Coturnix japonica: one gene and its partners. The protein of the gene in region 1 purifies or fractionates together with the protein of each later gene. This does not show direct contact. Links are inferred from orthologs where the notes say so. Each region holds a gene or a part of one and is shown in the gene's direction. Other genes may lie near its edges.

The links.
Region 2: the proteins of BBS12 (region 1) and BBS7 purify together in Homo sapiens (co-immunoprecipitation; 3 studies listed by BioGRID and IntAct, counting the BioPlex papers as one, with this or other methods). This does not show direct contact. The link is inferred for Coturnix japonica from reciprocal best matches to the Homo sapiens genes BBS12 and BBS7.
Region 3: the proteins of BBS12 (region 1) and MKKS purify together in Homo sapiens (co-immunoprecipitation; 4 studies listed by BioGRID and IntAct, counting the BioPlex papers as one, with this or other methods). This does not show direct contact. The link is inferred for Coturnix japonica from reciprocal best matches to the Homo sapiens genes BBS12 and MKKS.

The regions. Positions count from the first base shown.
Region 1 is NC_029519.1:48,045,050-48,050,960, reverse strand, and holds the start of BBS12 (Bardet-Biedl syndrome 12 protein), read left to right. Parts: upstream 1-2,303; 5' UTR 2,304-2,377; intron 2,378-3,640; 5' UTR 3,641-3,788; intron 3,789-4,882; 5' UTR 4,883-5,050; intron 5,051-5,911. Other genes in the region: IL21 (interleukin-21), read right to left, coding at 2,015-2,050, 2,169-2,303. UniProt on the Homo sapiens protein: Component of the chaperonin-containing T-complex (TRiC), a molecular chaperone complex that assists the folding of proteins upon ATP hydrolysis.
Region 2 is NC_029519.1:48,255,840-48,261,815, forward strand, and holds the start of BBS7 (Bardet-Biedl syndrome 7 protein), read left to right. Parts: upstream 1-2,127; 5' UTR 2,128-2,231; coding exon 2,232-2,267; intron 2,268-2,338; coding exon 2,339-2,404; intron 2,405-2,532; coding exon 2,533-2,595; intron 2,596-3,220; coding exon 3,221-3,396; intron 3,397-3,864; coding exon 3,865-4,051; intron 4,052-4,598; coding exon 4,599-4,671; intron 4,672-5,976. Other genes in the region: TRPC3 (short transient receptor potential channel 3), read left to right, coding at 249-324, 1,187-1,329.
Region 3 is NC_029518.1:11,794,135-11,800,066, forward strand, and holds the start of MKKS (McKusick-Kaufman/Bardet-Biedl syndromes putative chaperonin), read left to right. Parts: upstream 1-2,083; 5' UTR 2,084-2,264; intron 2,265-3,021; 5' UTR 3,022-3,255; intron 3,256-3,482; 5' UTR 3,483-3,553; intron 3,554-4,194; 5' UTR 4,195-4,622; coding exon 4,623-5,607; intron 5,608-5,932. UniProt on the Homo sapiens protein: Probable molecular chaperone that assists the folding of proteins upon ATP hydrolysis. Plays a role in the assembly of BBSome, a complex involved in ciliogenesis regulating transports vesicles to the cilia.

The DNA.
Region 1 (5,911 bases):
AGAATCATAGAACTGTTTGAGTTGGAAAGGAGCTTTAAAGGCCAGCTAGTCAAGCTCCCCTGCAGTGAACAGGGATCCCTACAGCTACATCAGGCGCTCAGAGCCCTGTCCAGCCTGACCTTGAGTATCTTCACCACCTCTGCGCAACCGGTGCCAGTGCTTCACTACCCTTAGTATAAAAAACTTTTTCCTTATAACCAATCTGAATCTCCCCACTTTTAGTATGAAGCCATTTCCCCATGTCCTATCTCAGCAGCCCCTGCTGATGAGTCTGTCCCCTTTCTTATAGCTTCCCTTTAGGTACTGGTAGGACGTATAATATATATAGTATAATAACAGAATGTATAACATATATATATTTGGATAATTCAATAAATGTATATTTCACTCCAAAGAATGAAAGCCTTATCAGTGTAATTGCTGGTAATAATCACTGTTAACAATTACTCTTAATAATTACTGTTAGCTTTCCATCGGGGGTCAAACCTATATCGATCTTAGAACCTTCTAAATACCTAAATTCTTTATCTCCTATACTTTTTGACAGAGGTACTCAGGACCCCCCCAGAGTCAGCCCGTAAAGCCCTGTGCTGTAAATGAACTGTTGTCTTCCTTCCTGAGGTGATGGTGTTTTTCAAGAGAAAAAAAAAAAAGCAACAACCTGATGAAGTGATTAGTCACTGGCTGTATTTGCTTGTTTCAGAGGTAGCAGTAAACTCTGCAGTAAAATGACGGCGAACCATCTGGCTCTTTTCAGTTTGACAGTACGAGTTAGAAAGAGTGCTAGTGAAAAAAACCCAACAGTTATATTGGTTGTATTGCTTTCTGCGCTGCAGTTGTTTCTAGCAATAAGACGGAATGGAACGTATCTGTTTTGGTCATGCTCCTCTATGTTTTTTGGCAAGTCAAAAATGCACCCAACTGTAAATCTTAGGAGGAAGCAAACAGCTTTGTGAAAAGAGGTGAGTTTTTTTCCTTTCTTCTTGCAGTTTGCAAAAAAAGTTTACAGTGCTGAGTGAAACACCTTTATACTCTGCAAGTGGGTTTGTTTTTGTATTAAATATGCACAATGATTGTTTTTGCACGTTGCTTAAAATTGCTTACATTCTAAAATAGGTGTCCATACCCACAAACAAACGCAATGGGTAAATTTAAGATAACTGATAACAAGGTCTTCATTGCGTGTTGGGGATTATCAAAAGAATGCAGAACACAACAAGTTTCTAAACTTGTAAGACGTGCTGTTGTTTGTAGCTTTTCATTGTGCTGTAAATCTCACATCCTGCCAGTGTGTAGATGTGCATGCGCTTTCTGTGACTGGCGTAACTTAATACATATGAGAAGTTCCTGACTTTGAGTAACACATAACATCATCATTTTTAAAATGCATAAATATTGGTATAAAAAGAGATTTGCAGGGACCTGCTGTGGTTATTCTAACAAGTCATAATGTAAAGATAATACTTGCATAATGCAGCTGTGTCTCCTCGTCTATGTGGTAACACAAGCTTTGCTCACAAGAAGTCTGACAGAAACCAGTGTGACTGCATGAAAGGAGGTGCTATGTAATATAATATTGACATTTATCTCCAGTGGGAGGGAAAGGGGATCCCTTCAGGGTCTGGTCAGCAGTGTTGCCAATGCACTTGGAGCTCACAGTACCTGCAGACACTTCCTCGCCCAAAAACTGCATCCTCAGGAGCATTGCTAGTCATGTAGATTTTGTACTCATGGCACTGAGTAAAGGGAATACTTAGAAATTTGAGTCTGTGGATGTGCTAGAATGCACAACTTAACCTATCACTAACCCAGTAACTAAGACTGTATCATATAAAGGCTTCTGGCATGAAAAATCCAGGAATAAGGAACTTTTATCAAAGCATTTTCAAACCACCTTGCACTAAGTGTTCTAGGACATAAATGTGAAAAGGAAGACATCTACCATTTGTCAGTGGAAACAGCCAATACAAAATACATTTGATATAGTTAGAAAGAAATGTTAAAGCAGTCTCACCACAGGGTTTTCTGGTGTATGCAGCAATTCAACATCCTACAATAAAACAAATCTAAATTAGAAAAGTTTAGCATTTGAGCAATGCCCTCCAAAGATACACTCAATACATCATACTTGAAAATAATTTCAGAATTAGGACAAATGCTTTGCTTACCTTATCTTTCACTACATCTTTTAGTTGGTCAATTGTCTTTGCAAGCTGTTTGTATTTTGTTGCTTTTGGTGGAGCTGCAGTCAGCACCATACTGGAACAGAAGAAGAGCATACAGAAAACAATCATCCTCTCCATACTGATGAGTTTTGTTGTGTCAGGAGCAAAGTTGTGCTATCCAAGATGAACACTTCAGTTTGAGCAGTGCTCAGGTATGCCACGCACCTACCTATATATTGGTCTTTGATGCATATGTAAAACCCACCCATTTCAGTTTGGAAAGCTTTGAAGAATGGATTAATGAGTAACCCTTTTTTCTTTTCCATTGGCAAGGTGAGTTTGTGCGTAGGGGGCAGGGATTGATGGAGTGAATTAAAATATGCCCCATCTGCACATTGGACAGGAAAAAAAGAGAGAAGGGTGAATTCCCATTTTCGCTTTGAGTCAAAAAATGAACGTAGTAAAAAGTAGATGCTTAGAAACCACAGGCCCAGGTAAACAAAGATTCTGCTTTTTTTTCTTTTTTTTTTTTTTTTTCCCTGCTTCTTGCAGCAACAAATCTCTTCAATCCAATTGTAATTCATTCATATCATGCTGATGAAATATGACAGGACTTCTTTTCAGAAAGCTAATTTATCCTACTTTTCTTTATAACTCCAGAGGATATGTAGCTTGTCCAAGCTGATGTCTTTGAACCTTTACACTCATGCATGATTTCTGCAACTGCTGTGAGTAGGTCATTTTCACATTTAAGCCAGCTGAGGTCCACTTTTTACTTCAAACTAATTTTACATTTTTTATCATTGTGCTAATGAGCATGTCCATTGGGGACTGAAAGTGCATTTGCAGGGGTCTGAGCTCATGGAGATGCATTGCTACAGGAGAAGTGGATTCCCATCCCATGCCCATTGCCCAGATGGGCACGATACTGGAGGGCCAGGGACTAAGTTGCTCTCAGTCCCTCAGAATGTTATCACATTGAGGCTGTGACTGAGTGGATATGGCAGCTAAACATGTTCAGTTATGTTTTATTGCAGTTAGGCTGGATGTTAGCTTCGCTTCTCTATGCAACTCCTTCAATGGAAGTTCTCTGAGACCAGAGAATTCTCTTGAGAACGAAGAAATATCTTTATGCGGTGTGAAATAGATTAAAAATGCACTTAACAAAATTTAAACAGAGAATAAAAACAGCAGAATGATCTGAATTAAGAAATAAGTCAAATTCCCATGATTTCCTTCAAAATTGTTGCTTACTGCAATGAAGTGTGTATGCTACTTTTGAGGAAGCAGATTTGAGATTGTTACTTGAAAGACACGTAAGGTAGGAGCTTTTCCAACAGATGTCAGTAAGGAATGTTCTCTTATGGGGGATACCTCAGTTGCCTTCTTGCTAAATGAGTGCTGTGGTATTTGTAGACATTCCCAAATGTACTCATTTTGTGTGTTTGTTTGTTTACTTGTTTATTTACTATCAGTTTCCTCCAGCCCAAGCCACGTTTTCATTGCTCTCACTCACTTGCGCTGAGCACACAGAACAGCCCTGTGTGAGCAAAGGGGACTTCCGAGCTGCCACCTCTAGGAATCTTTTCAATTCCACTGCTCCTAATACTTCATTGCAAGGAGGTAAAATGTCTTTAAATGACTGTTATGTGCTGTCAGTAATAAATGGTTATCAACACTGTTGTATGACCATTAAAAAGTTGCTGTGTAGAATTGGTAGAGAGCAAATAAAATTGCGCTCCTTCACTGTGATAAATGAAAAGGTACCTAAGTGTCTTAAATCTCGGCCTCTTGAAGTTTGAAGATTTTAGACAGCTTTGAGGATGCTCTGCAAAGTAGGAGTTTGGACTTCAGTTTGATGTTGTCTTTGCTTGGAAGGCTAGTCTGTGTAATATGAGAATGCTTGTGTTTATCTGTCTGGTGTGTCAATCAGACAGTCAGATGGGATGATGGATTTCTGTCCATTTCAAAATCTCTCAGCATTTAAGCTGATGTGTTTGTTTTCTGTATACAAATTCCTTATCATTCAAGCTGATTCTTAAAGTCTGCTCCTCTTTAACCTGAATCTTCATCTTCTCTCCAGGCTATTGACTAGTAATTTAGACAAACATACGTTGTGTTCTCAATCCAGTTTTTGATAATACCGTTGGAAATGTTCATAGTTAAGGAGCAGACCGGTGATGTGTTTCTGCCTTTTTTGTTAGCATTTCAAAATTGAATTTTTTTTGAGAAGTTTCTTTGATCTCAGCTTCTATGGGTGAACATGGTAGCTCTGCTGGCTTTTATTTTAGGCAGCTTTATTTGGTTGATAGGTTAGAAGGTTTCCATTTGGATGTGAGGATGACTCTGTTAGCTTATTAGATGGCTGGCAGTTACTAATGCAAAAATGCCACTGCATTGACCAGACAACTTCAGGACCACTCAAGAACTTCAGTTAGTGCTGCCGGTGTATTTTCAGGAACTCGGGGCTTGAACGGGCAACACAGAGGCATCAGCTCCTACCCCCTGCCATGACAATATGTCACAATTACTTAACAGTTGTGTTTACCTCCATAGTTGGTTCTTAAAGTCTCTGTGCTTAGCAATCAGAGACATTCTTACTTCCAGCCTGGATGCATTGATTGTTAGCTTAGTCTCTTCTGTTCTTACACTGATGCTGTCATTCACCTTAGATCGTTTTCTCCTCTGACCGATGTTTCCTCATTTGCTCTGCATAGAGAGAGCAGTCCAACCCCCTCTGACGCCAGACTAAGCAAACTGATGCCTTGAAGTGTACCTGTCCTCTAATCGTCCCACCCATTCTGCTCTGCACACCTCCATTTGATTGGCAGGCATCTCTATTGGAATGGTAGATAATATTCTGGATGAGGACCCAACATCTCATTGTACAGTATCTATAATTTTTTATTGAACCATCTGGAAGTGCTTGACATATTACTGACTGAAATTGCGTTTTTGTTGGTCCTTGATAATTTGTTGGACAGGAGTAATGCACGGCTGCATTCTGGATATTACTGTGTCTCTGGGAGTCATTTCCAGATTCCTGGGATTGTATTCTCGCACTTGACCACGTCCCACAGCTGTATAGAAGAACCATACCTGTGTAGCTAACAACCATTTCAATTGTCATCTTTTGTTGTTTTTTCTTTTCCTAAAGTTGTGATAATTAAGGCTCTAATGCAGTGATCAGAGGTTAAATTACTGCCGTTTCTAGAGATAGTCTGAAAAACAGTGAGATAATTGTGCATGGATGGTCCTGAGATAAGTCACTTTAGGAAAGGAAATAATTACAATGGCAGACAAAGGCAGCTTTAAATTCCCTGAACCAAGCTTAAGCATGGTGAGAACTGTTCTAAAATTCTCTCCTTGTTCAAAGGAGGTTGTGTCAATGCAAGCTTCATATTTTAAACAAAGAAGCTGTTTTGTTAGACTCTGATTCTCCCTTCACTTTTAGGAATATTTAATGACATTGCAAAGTAAGGGAGAACCCTGCTCATAGCTGGCAGGCTGTGCATGCTGCATGTAGTCCAAAAAACCCTTTTTATATGAATGCACTGTGAAAGGCAGTTTATAGTATCAGAGGAGACATTAATGGGAATGGTAGGAAGTGCTTAAAATCCCTGTGTGTTTTACAGTGAAACTTTCTGTGTGAAAGAATGCCTGTACAACAGCACAGGAGAGCACTCGGGCAGCAGGCATTTAATGAAGCACTGTCACTTAATACACAGAAGCATCACAGAAATATG
Region 2 (5,976 bases), about 210 kb from region 1:
CTTTATTTCCCTGTTGTGCTATTCCTTCCAACCAGCTGCGTCCTTCTGTAAATTAAGAGGTAGTTGGTTGAGAGAAAGATGCTTTGTTGTAGTGATGAATCCCTGTGTGCCACCAAAAAAGCCCATATGAGACAACTGCTTGATCTGGGGCTGCTTTTTCACTTGCTTATATCTTTTCCATTCTTGTAAGAAAAAGTGAATAAAGTTCTACTACACGTGCTAACCGTGTCTCTGTTTTAATCTGACAGCAAATAATGAAAAGACTGATAAAACGGTACGTTCTGAAAGCACAAGTGGACAAAGAAAATGATGAAGTAAATGAAGGTAAGAGGCTTCTTCACATTTCAGAGGGAATGTTTGTCACATTTATTAGAGTCTGGCATTACAGTGGTGCATGGAGCCTCCAGTTAAAATGAGTTTATTTCTACTTCATGTGCACTGAAGTCATATAGCAATGGAAGTACGTGCAACAAAAATGGACAAGTAGGACCGATAACGTGGAACTGAGAAAGTTTATGGGCCCCATTTACAGATGTAAAGTTGGGGTGCAGACATGGTGCACACACAGTCACAGAGGAAGTCTGTGAGGAAACCACTATTGATGCTTCCAGCGTCCCAGTCAGCCGAATTTGAGTATCTCTTGGCCAGATATCTTATACTGGAAACCCTGACATATCTTGTTACAAGCCCAACCTTGACTATTGTTTCCATTTGTTGTTGTCCTTGTGTCAAGTTGTAACAGTTTTAAATTGGCTGACTTTTTCTGATTCAAAGGATGTTGGTAAGGAAGAGGAGAGAGACTCAGAAGCTGTGAGTTTTGTTGCCAGCTCTGCCACACTTTCCCTGTGTGATCTCGGCATATCACTTCAGAAACAAATCTCTTTTGCCTTTTCTCTCTCCAAGGGGGTACTAACATTTACCAGCTGTTTAGCAGTGTTGCCGTGATTAATTCATTAACCTATGTGGAGGGCTTTGATGTTCTGTGTATGTGTGAAGCACAACACTGGAGTTGGTTGGATCTCAGAGAGGATGAGGAAGAGGGAAAGCCTTCTGCCCCCCTTACTTAGCTCTCATGGATGTTCTGGATGAGCAGGGGATCATCTGAAATAGGCACTAATGCGACTTATCATTTAATGAACGTTTAGCAGACTTTGCTAATAAGTATTTCTTTCCATGGTTAATACAGGTGAATTAAAGGAAATCAAACAAGATATCTCCAGTCTTCGCTATGAACTTTTGGAGGACAAGTCCCAAGCGACAGAAGAGTTAGCGATTTTAATACATAAACTCAGCGAGAAACTCAATCCCAATATGTTGAGATGTGAATGATGCGACAAAGGAACCGTGGCTTCGACTACAGCACAACTATTTATTGGCAATAATATTTCAGTATCTCATACTTGAAAACAAAAAAAAAAAAGTATTGTAGATTTTTAGCACTAAATAACTTTATGTACAGCTGCTCTGGAATTTAGTCATAGGAAATTTTATTAACTCGTCACCAAAACGTTGTTGTCTTCATCTTAATCATCTGAAAGTTAACAACTATCAAACTGTTGTGGTTTTTTTTTTTTTGCATTGATGCATTAAGAAGGTATAGAGATGAGAATTACTGATATTTTAGCAGGTTTATGGATACATGCTGAGAATCCTTTGCACTGAATTTGCAAGAAAAACAAATGAATAGATGTAAGGTAGTGTCGTGCTCCTGGCAGCAGCGAGGTGGGAACAGGGTGTTTGAGCGTGTGGTGGATCAGGTAGAGTGGGGTAGGGTTGCGCTGCTGATGGCAGTATGAGCTGAGGAGCAGGTGAGGGTGAGCACACAGCTGCTGTGCCATAATGCAGTGTGTTATTTCCACTGGTGAGGTGTGGTGGAGGTTGGCTGTTATTTTTTGTAACGACATTTGAAGGGACCGTGATCTCAGTCCAAAGCTCCTCTTCATGCGGTAGAAATGATTTTTTTTTAATTCAGACTCTGCGCAGGGCCGGTATTTTGTGACCCGATGCCTCGGATGCTTCATTGTTAAATAAAATATTGCGATACTTTACTGATACTCGGCCTGCTCCTGCTCGGCCCGTGTGGGGGCGGTCCCGCGGCCGTTGCTCACGGCACTAAGCGCAGCGCCGCCCAGTCGCCGGCCACGATTGTGCGGCTGGGAGCGCTGCCGTACGCGGGCGACGGTTGCCGCGGTGACGGGTAACGGCAGCTCGGGGCCGGGCCCGGCGGAGCCATGGAGCTGAGCCTGAGCCGCGTGGACTACATGCAGGTAACCGGCAGCGCCGCTCCCGGGGCCGAAGGGCCGGGCGAGGTGAGTGAGGGCCGCGCTTCCTTCTGCAGGTGGGCGTCACGGCGCAGAAGACCATGAGGCTGCTCCCCGCGTCGGGTCGTAGGGCCACACAGAAGGTACGGGCCGGCCCGGCTCCTCTGGCGGAACGTGACGTACCGAAGTACGGAACTGCGGTTAGCGGAGCGAAGGGGTGTGTAAAAACCCTTCGTGTGCGCTGACGTAACGCTGTGCTCTGCTTTTGAAGGTGGTGGTGGGTGATCAGGACGGAGTGATTACCTGTTTCGGCATAAAAAAGGGGGAACCTGTGGTAAGTGTCAACGTGCTGTTTAAAGGGGGTCTGGAGCACAGGCCTTATGAGGAGAGGCTGAGGGGGCTGGGATTGTTCAGCCTGGAGAAGAGGAGGCTCAGGGGAGACCTTATTGCTCTATAACTTCCTGAGGGGAGGTTGTAGTGAGCTGGGGGTTGGCCTCTTCTCTCGTGTAATCAGTGATAGAACTAGAGGGAATGGTTTTAAGCTGCGCCAGGGGAGATTCAGGCTGGACATTAGGAAGTATTACTTCTCGGAAAGGGTAGTCAGGCATTGGAATGCACTGCCCAGGGAGGTGGTGGAGTCACCGACCATGGGAGTGTTCAAGAAACGTTTGGATGTGGTGCTGATGAATATGATTTAGCTGGGAAGTATTGGTAATGGTTGGACTAGATGATCTAGGTCTTTTCCAACCTTGATAATTCTGTGATTCTGTAAAAACGGGCTTTGTAAAGCTTTCTCCCTAACAAATCCAGAAGGCATGCGGTTAGCGTTGCTTTTTGTCCCCACGTACTTGGTAGTATCCTTAGTTTTGCCAGTGGCTGTAAAGCAAGTTTAGCATCCTTTGCGTGAAAAGTTGACTGTAATCACAGAATATGATTGCGATTGCGTTTCTTCTTTACAGACAGTGTTCAAAACGCTGCCCGGCCCCAAAATTGCCCGCCTGGAGCTGGGGGGAGCTCTTAATACACCTCAAGAGAAAGTTTTTGTGGCAACAGGATCAGATGTCCGAGGTTTCACCAAAAGAGGGAAGCAGTTCCTCTCCTTTGAAACTAACCTCACCGAGGACATCAAAGCTATGTGTGTACAGTGCCTGCCGCTTCTTGTCTCCATGAAGTTATTCTCAATCTATACTTGTATGGGGTTTTTTTAACCTTATTGTGTGCATGTAGGCAGCACTCGGTGCTGCTCTGGCTTTAGCTTGTGCCTTGGCATGTAGGAAGGAATCTGGAAAGTGACGGTGCAATTGGAAGAGTGTGGGGGGGCTTGGAAGGGGCTTGGGGGCCTTTCCAGCAGTGTGTGTGTGTGCAGGTGAGTGTAGCTGGGGTTATTGGCTTTTTAGCAGCATATTCTTTCCATCTGCCCTGCATGTAGGAGGTCAGGAATAAGATTCTTCTCTTGTTTTTTTGTATGTTCTTGGTTTAAGGTGCTTGTCTTGTAAAAGGTGATGTGTGGAACCTGCAAGCAATAACACATTCATATACTAACCTAACAAAGACATGACTGCAAATATTCTGGCAACATGCTACAGTGTTTTCTTTTTCTCAGGCACATTTCAGGAGCAGATCTGTTTCTTTGCGCAAGCTATATCTATAACCACTACTGCGACTGCAAAGACAAGCACTACTACCTGTCAAGAGATAAAATCAACGACGTTCTCTGCCTTCCTGTAGATAAAGTGAATTGCATTACCCCAGTACTTGCGTGTCAGGATAGAGTCCTCAGAGTTTTACAGGTTAAAATATTTGCTTGTTTTATGTGTTGACGCCATAGCATTGGATTGATTCTTATCGAATAAGCATAAGCATAACCTTATTTGTAAGTGTTGCTGTCTACAGTGCTGGTACTTGTAAAATTAGGATTGATTGATTGATACTACAAATAGTCTCTGGAATTCATGGATAGAAGAAGTAAAGAAATTGTTATAAGTGTTTACACAAAGGAATTAAATGCGTGAGTTGTTGTAAGTTTGAAAACTCACAAATTATTGCTGTAGCAAGTCTGAGTGATATCAAATGGTTTAGCAGAATTGTTTCTTAATGCCACATGTCCTCGGATTATTATGTCATAGTTATTTTAAGTGGTAACACATTTCAAGATGTGCTTTTCTTATAGCCATGTTTTAGTTATATGAAGTTTTCTCTGTTTTGGCTTAAAGGTGATTTTATGCAAGAAAATCTGTGTAAATGAAACATGTCCATATTAAAAAAACAATTTTGTCTTTATTCTTGATTTCTCCTTTTGAATAAGAACTCATTCAAGGTAGTTCTCTTTGTCCCCAGGGATCTGATCTACTGTATGAAGTAGAGGTTCCTGGACCACCTACTGTTCTTGCTCTACACAATGGAGATGGAGGTAACAAATAATGGACTTCTGCTGTTTTTGAGATTGTAACGTTTATATTTGTTAATTACATTTCTTCTTGATTTGAAGCTGATTTGAAAAGGTAGTCAAAAACTATGTGAAACCATATCTTACTGCCCATTCTGTTTATAGAATGTAGTTGTAGAGCATCTGTATGTGTTATGGTGAGAATGGAATTTAGTTGTCCCATATACTGAACTGATGAACAACTCTTTGGTGAGAAGGGGGAGTACTTGAAGATACTTGCTTAAATTATTCCTATCTGGAACACTGGAGGAAAAACATACTTTTAGCAGTATTAAGGGCTTTTGCTGCTGGTTTTCTGATAGAAAAGGTTTATAGGTGGGAAAACTGGAGATCAAAAGCCTGTTGGTAGTAACAGAAATCACAAATATGAAATTTCTGTTTTCATGCAGAAAATCTGTTACTGAGACATAGTTGCAGCATGAAGTAAGAGTGAAAGGCTGGTAGGATTTCAGGTGAAAGCTGGGGAGAAGGAACCATGGGAGTTTAGGTTGGGATGCTGGTAAGATTGCTGTGGAGATTTCAGAGTAGGGATTATTAGCTTCGTTTTTAAACTCCTTTGGATTTTTGTTTGTCTGCATATTGAGGTGTTATTTGTAAACATACAATACATACACGTATAATAGATAATAGTCTCGTGCGGGTTGAAAGGGACCTTAGAGATCATTGAGTCTAACACCTGGGATTTGAGCCTCTGTGTAGCAGAGCAGCACTTCTACCACTTGTGCCACAGGGGGGATTCGAACCCGGGCCCCGGTGTTGCAACGTGGCACTTCTACCACTGCGCCACCAGGGCACACATATGTGCTTGACTGTTTTAGTTCTAAACAATATTTACGTTGCATGAAAGCCTCTTACAGTGGTGGTGAGTTGTAAGGTGATCTTGTTGTGTAAATGGGAGCTGGACTGTTGGGGGTGTCTCGTTCAGGCACTGGGTTGGGTTTCTCTTACATCTGGATTTCTGTAAGTAGAATCACTGCTTCCTTCCATCCATAGATTGATGAGAATTGTGTAGAGCTCACATAAACTAAGGCTGTGAAAGGATCAATCTTAAAATAGTTTGATCTTCCTTTTCGCTAATCTCTTCTACCCTGATACAAATCCCTTTAGTGTGTTAATCTGGTGCTTAATTTAGTTTCTGTTAGATTATTTGTCAGTGTTCAGGTCTAGATTCAAGAAACAGTTCTTACTTGCTTTAGGTGCAGTACAACACTCACAATTAGATGTGTGTTCTGAATAAATAATATAAATGGTTTCTTCTGTAAAGCACAT
Region 3 (5,932 bases), on another chromosome or scaffold:
GACTTTATTGATAGTTTCAGAAACAATGTAGGGAAGAGTGCTCTTGACTGCTTGTAAAAGAGTATTCAAATTGAGCCACATAGTAAGGTTCTGCTGTTCTGTTACTAATGTAACTATAATCCTTAGTAACAAGAATTCTTCCCTAAATCTAATCTACACAACAACAAGAGAAAGAAAGAAATGATTTAAAAAAAAAATAATCATCACAAAATGAAACACTGTAATACTGATACACCAAGAAATGAGGGCAAAAAAATCCCCAAAATAATGCTTCAATAAAAGACACCAGCCATCCCCAAAATACTTTGATATTTAGTGTGTTTGTGACCAAAGTATGGAGATCTGTTACAATTGCCACTGTTTGGTAATGAAATCTGACTCATGGAACAGTGCATCCATCACAGAATAACACAAGCCATTAAATAAAATCACCCATAAGAAAATGCAAAGACAACTACACCAAATAGAAAAACTTAGCTAGAAGTTTTACTCTCTAAAACAAAGAAGGCCTTGATATGTTGCCAGTAGCATTTCAAACACCTAAATTGTTGATGGACATCCTACACCAACAAAAAACAAACAAAAAAAAAAACACAACACAATGAACAAACATCAAAACAAGCTCCAAGAACTAAACACAACCTCCTCGGAAGAAGCAAGAGGTATGTTCTAAAAATGACATGATAGAATAGTTTATTCTCTAAAACTTATGGTCAATTGAAATGGCAGATGCTCAGTAAATTGAGGAAATGAGGCTTCCCGGAAAGCAAGTTTTAGCAGAAATGTTAGGCCATGACCTGAAACAGTGATTGAGCACCTGGCAGCAGGGCCAACCCAGGCGAGTTCAGAAGTATGCCATGCTCCTGACTGAAACAGGTGGATCCACCCCTTCCCAGACCTCATTTAAGGGCTGGCAATGGAGGTAAAGGCATCTCTTGCTGGAGATCCCTCCCTACCAGAGGCCTCCCAAAGGTAAGCAGCTCTTTTTCTTTATTTTTACTGCTACTGCGTTTGGGCTTGTTCTCATTTCCTGTAGCTGATGGCTTTGCTACCCTGCTGTTATTAAAGTACTTGCTATTCCTATGATAGTATTATACAAGTCAGTCAGATGATCTACAGCATCTTACCTTAGTGAAGAAGTGGCTTTTGGCACTGTTGAAATTTGGAATTCAGTAGAGGTAAGGAACTGAGAACTCCTGCCACACGTGCCCATGTACAGCAACTTCTAACGCTACAAGTTGTTCATGCTTTGCTTATCTTTGGGGGCTGTTATCGTGTGTGAGAAGAGGCGGGCACCTGAAAAAGGCAAAACCAAAACAATAATTGGATACCTTCCTAGGATATGCCACTGTTAGTTTCGCTTATAAAAGAGTCACAATTAATTATAATAACATAAAAGGCTTTTTTTCTGAAGTCTCCAGAGCTTAGATGTTGGACTGCAAACACTGTGCCAGTTCACCTTTAGAGCACAACAACGGCATGTTTCCTCTCTGTTGCTATTTGAAAGAAATGAGAGGAACACCAGAGTGCCCAGTCAGATGTGCTGGCTGTGATCTTTTGGCCTTGCTGAGTGAATCCCATCTGTTCCATGCATTTCTTTCAGAACTACTGTGCTCCTTTCAGAGCTGACACTAAAGCCTATGTTAACTTCTAAGAAACCTGCCTTTTGGCTACAGTTACCAACTCTGCAATCCTCCACTGACTTGAAACCACGGGCAAATATGACAGATAATGTTACCGACGGCGATCGAAAGAGTGAATACAGAAGTACAGAGTAAGATAAGCAGAAGGAAATGCTGATAGGGAGCTGAGGCACTGAGAATGTCTCGAGCTCGTTTCGTTCAGCTAACAGCATCTACCTGCAGGAAGGCTGGGCAGAGGAGCACAGGAGTAACGCACACAGCAGGCACAGAAGACGAAGCGGCTGTTTTAAAGTTGCCGGGAAGCTCCAATGGGCGGAGCCCATGGCTGCCAAGCGAGAGCTTCCTCTCCCCTATCCAAAATGGCCGCCGTTTGTAGCCGCGTCCCGCCCAGCTTTTTACCCTAAACTAAAATGGCCGGGATGGGAGGGGCACATTCGGTCCCCGCAGTGTCTCTTCCGGCTGTGGGGGGTTGGAACGTGCGGTGTCCTCACACCGCCCCCGGCTCGTGTCGTGGTGCGGGCACACGGTTCTGCGGCTCGTTCCATCCGCTTCAGTGTCGGCCGTTGTCCCGTCGGCCATTTGTGTCTCGAGGTTACGAGGAGGGACGTGTTACCGCGTGAGGTACGGTGGGGGCCTTCCCTCAGTGTCTGCTGTTATGGGGCCGGCCTACAACCCCGGGTTTTTCCTCGGCAGTGAGAAACTGAAGCGGCCGGGGGCGCTTGTTGTCTGAGCTGCGCCTTTGTAGCTCTGGAAGCGAAGATATCTTGATATAAAATCAAGCTGCTTGTAATTTTCGCTTCCTATGCACATATTGATACGTACTGCTCCATGAAACTACGTGTGAGCAGTTCTTCGTGTTCCCTATAAGAGTGGCTGAGTTTATTTCGTCATACCCTTGTTTCTGAGGTTGAAGGGCACAGAGGTAATGCAGGCAGCCTGAGGTGTTCTGCTGCCCGAATGCAGCTTGCTCAGCCCGTGAGCTAAAAGCTGGTGCGCTCTGAGGAGCCCCACTAGTTATTTTTGTTAACTGTGCAAGAGAAACTATATTTGAAGCTGCTTTATGTTGTTGATTTAGCTTTAAATTATGCGCTGTCTGAGGTGGTAATGTGTAATTAGGGAAACGTCGCGAAGCTTTAACGTGTAGTGTGCCAAAACTTGAAGCAACGTAGTGATTAACATATCAAGATGTCTGAATTGAGGTTCCTTTTAAAACCTTTCTATTCCTGGAGTTTGTGAAGTAAGGCTTATCCTGTGTCTTGCGGTTGTAATGATTTGCTGCATTGTAATTAACGATATTTACATTCAAGCTTGAGTTCTGAGTTGAGTTATAAGAGAGGAGAAATTATTTCTGAAATATATTTAAATTATTTTTCTCTAGGTACATAAATGCCAGTTTATGATGAGCCTCAAAACCTTATGGAAGGACTACAAAGTTCTGATTGTGATGGGAATTAGCCTTGGCCTGGTGCACTGGTCGTGGTTCCACATCAAGTCCAGTCCTCTTTTCCAAGTGAAGACAGAGGAGGTTGTTCCAGAACCTGGGATTGTGACATACGTAATGCAAAGGGATCGCAAAAATAAGGAAAAATAACATCAGGGCTGTTTGTTTTAGGTAAGATTCATAATCAGTTGCCTCTGCATATTTTGAGGCAGGAGATGGGTCATTAAATCAGTTCTCTAGCAAAGGCAGTATTGGTGTTTTGCTGTTTGTCTTACTGAGTTTAATTCATTTGTGGGTGAGTTAACCTGGTAGTTACATAACTTTTTTTTAGATGCATGTCAATTCTCAAACTGCTTATCAGTGCTCTTTAGCAGGATTAATTAAGTGGTGCATTGCAGGTTTTAAAAGTTACTCTGAAACAAACCCCAATAGTTTTCAAGGCGACAGTCAAACTCCTGTGTCTGATTTGGTATGTAATAATGTCCTTTCTAGGTTTAAAATTGGTCAGAATTATGGCTTCACATAGTGTAACACATTGTGTGTCACTAATAGTGGTTAGAGGACAAAATAATGATCGAGTCTAACAGTCTCTAATGAGTGAAGTCTACTGTAGACATTACATGTAGATAGATGTAAGTAATGCATCTACATTTTGAAATGTTTAAGAGCTAAGAATAAGTGTATGCTGGGTAAGTTGAAGTAAGAAGTCCTTCTTTCTGAGGCAGAGATCAGAAGTTGTTTAAGTGTGTTAAGATTGTTGTTTCTGAAGTGTCTCACTTCTTTTGTTCTTTGTTTAAAAACAGCTTAACATCATTGTAATCTGATGCTTTCATACCATTTGGTGTGTTTTGTAGTACCATGCATGACCTATTCGTAAAGTAGTGTAAAGCCTAGAGGTCAGAAGTAAAAGTAGTAATGCAAATGTGTAGTTTATGTACTGCATACCTCTATGTAACATGTTGTTTTTTTGTTTGTTTTTTTTTCAATTAAAATATCATACTGTAGTTTTTGTCCTTAAGTTAGTTTTTTCTGGGGAAAAAACCAAGCAGTTAAAGCTGTGTGATACTGGTGTGAGAGATCATACTAATACCTTTCTGGTTTTTATTGTAGGTGTAATTAGCTCTGAAACATCTCCTGTGAGTGTTGCCAGAAGGGAAGATGAGGAAACCTAGCTGGAGTAAAAAGAACTTTCTGCTTGTGGCAGGACTGTCGCTGATAGGTGTCCATTTTGGAACGATGCTTGTGAACTTTGTTGCAAAAAAATCTGCTCGATCACACTCAGAAATTAAGAAATAATGAAAGTATGAAAGCATGAATGAATGAGCTTACAGCTGTCATTATCAATTTCACAGTGGGATTTAAGCCTCATTTTTAGGTGTCTGTGTGCAGAATCAGATGTGCTTAGCATACTGTGCTACGTTTAAAATAGTAATCTTTGTCAGAAAAGAATAAAAATGTACTACTTTAAAGTGCTGTGAATTCTAGGTCCAAGTAAGAATGAAATCTCTCTTTATCAGAATTAAAATCTAATTTTGAAAATGTCTCGCCTTGAAGCTAAAAAGCCATCATTATTTATTAGTGAACCTCTAACTACAGTTAGTCAGCCACTGTCTCTATTAACTGCAATATTAAAATCTTGCTATGGGCCTGCTGGCAGACTTAAACAGCTCCACAATGGTCTGGGAGGTTATGTTTGTCTAACATCACAATCTTCTGCCATACTTGGTCGTCTTTCTGTCAGTCACCCTGTATTAAAGGTTTTGACAGCCTCTGTCCAGAACCATGTGTCCCGCTTCAGTGACTGTGGCTTATTTACTGCCATTCTTTGCTGTAGCTTGATTGAAAACTTTAGAAACCTAAATATTGCACCTTGCACTGTCATAAAAATAAGCAAACATCTTTTGAGTTTATGTACTGACTACCTCAAGTCTGAGGCCTGTGGTTGCCGAGTATCTGTGGATTTTGGTAATCTTGAGACTCTTCTTTGCTTGGTGCGTAGCATATTAACAAGCAAACCTGCTTGCATGCTTAATAAAACAGAGGTTGATCATCTCACTGTACTGATTGTAAAGGCTTTTATGTTTACTGTTCCATGCCATCCTGAAACTAAGCCTATTTTAGGAAAATGTGTAACAGTGTCTGTGAAGGGTAGAAGAGTTCTGGATTCTACAGTTGTTCCTGGTCTGCTGATAGAAACACCAGAAATTCAATTTGCAAAACCGTTTTCTGTCAAAAGAACTTCTTCTGACGCTGTCAAGGTAGCAGTTTTCTGTGTGTCCATGTCAGGAGACCTTTTTGACCCAGAAGAAGGAACAGTAACAGTCCACCACAGAATTTCCTTAGAAATGTCAGAGCTTGAGCAGTTGCTTAATGTAGGAAAGCAGTTGGTTAATGATGAAGTTGGCCTTGTAGTGTGCCAGAAAGTCATCCATCCGTCGCTGAAACAGTATCTGAAAGATAACCACGTCATTGCTGTGGACAGAGCTGGGCTGTCAGTGATGGAACCCCTGAGTCAAGTGACAGGTAATGAGTGATTTTTGTATACTTCATAGTTACACTTACTGCTAGTCTCACAATGAAAACCTTTCTAGATATGATTGTGGGACAGGGGTCTCCTATTTCTTCTTTATTCTACTGTAGCAGCAGAGCAAGCGTTTCAGACTAGAAACTGCTGCTTTCCATACTGAAGACAATTCCATAAGAGGACTGGTCTTGTACTGGCTGACTGCAATGCTATAATGCGCAAATGATCACTGATTGTTCTGTGAGAAGTATGAAATTCTAGCAACTATTTGTATGTGTCAGTTGTTTTCAAACTCTTGTCTAATGAGAATTATAAAGTTACTCT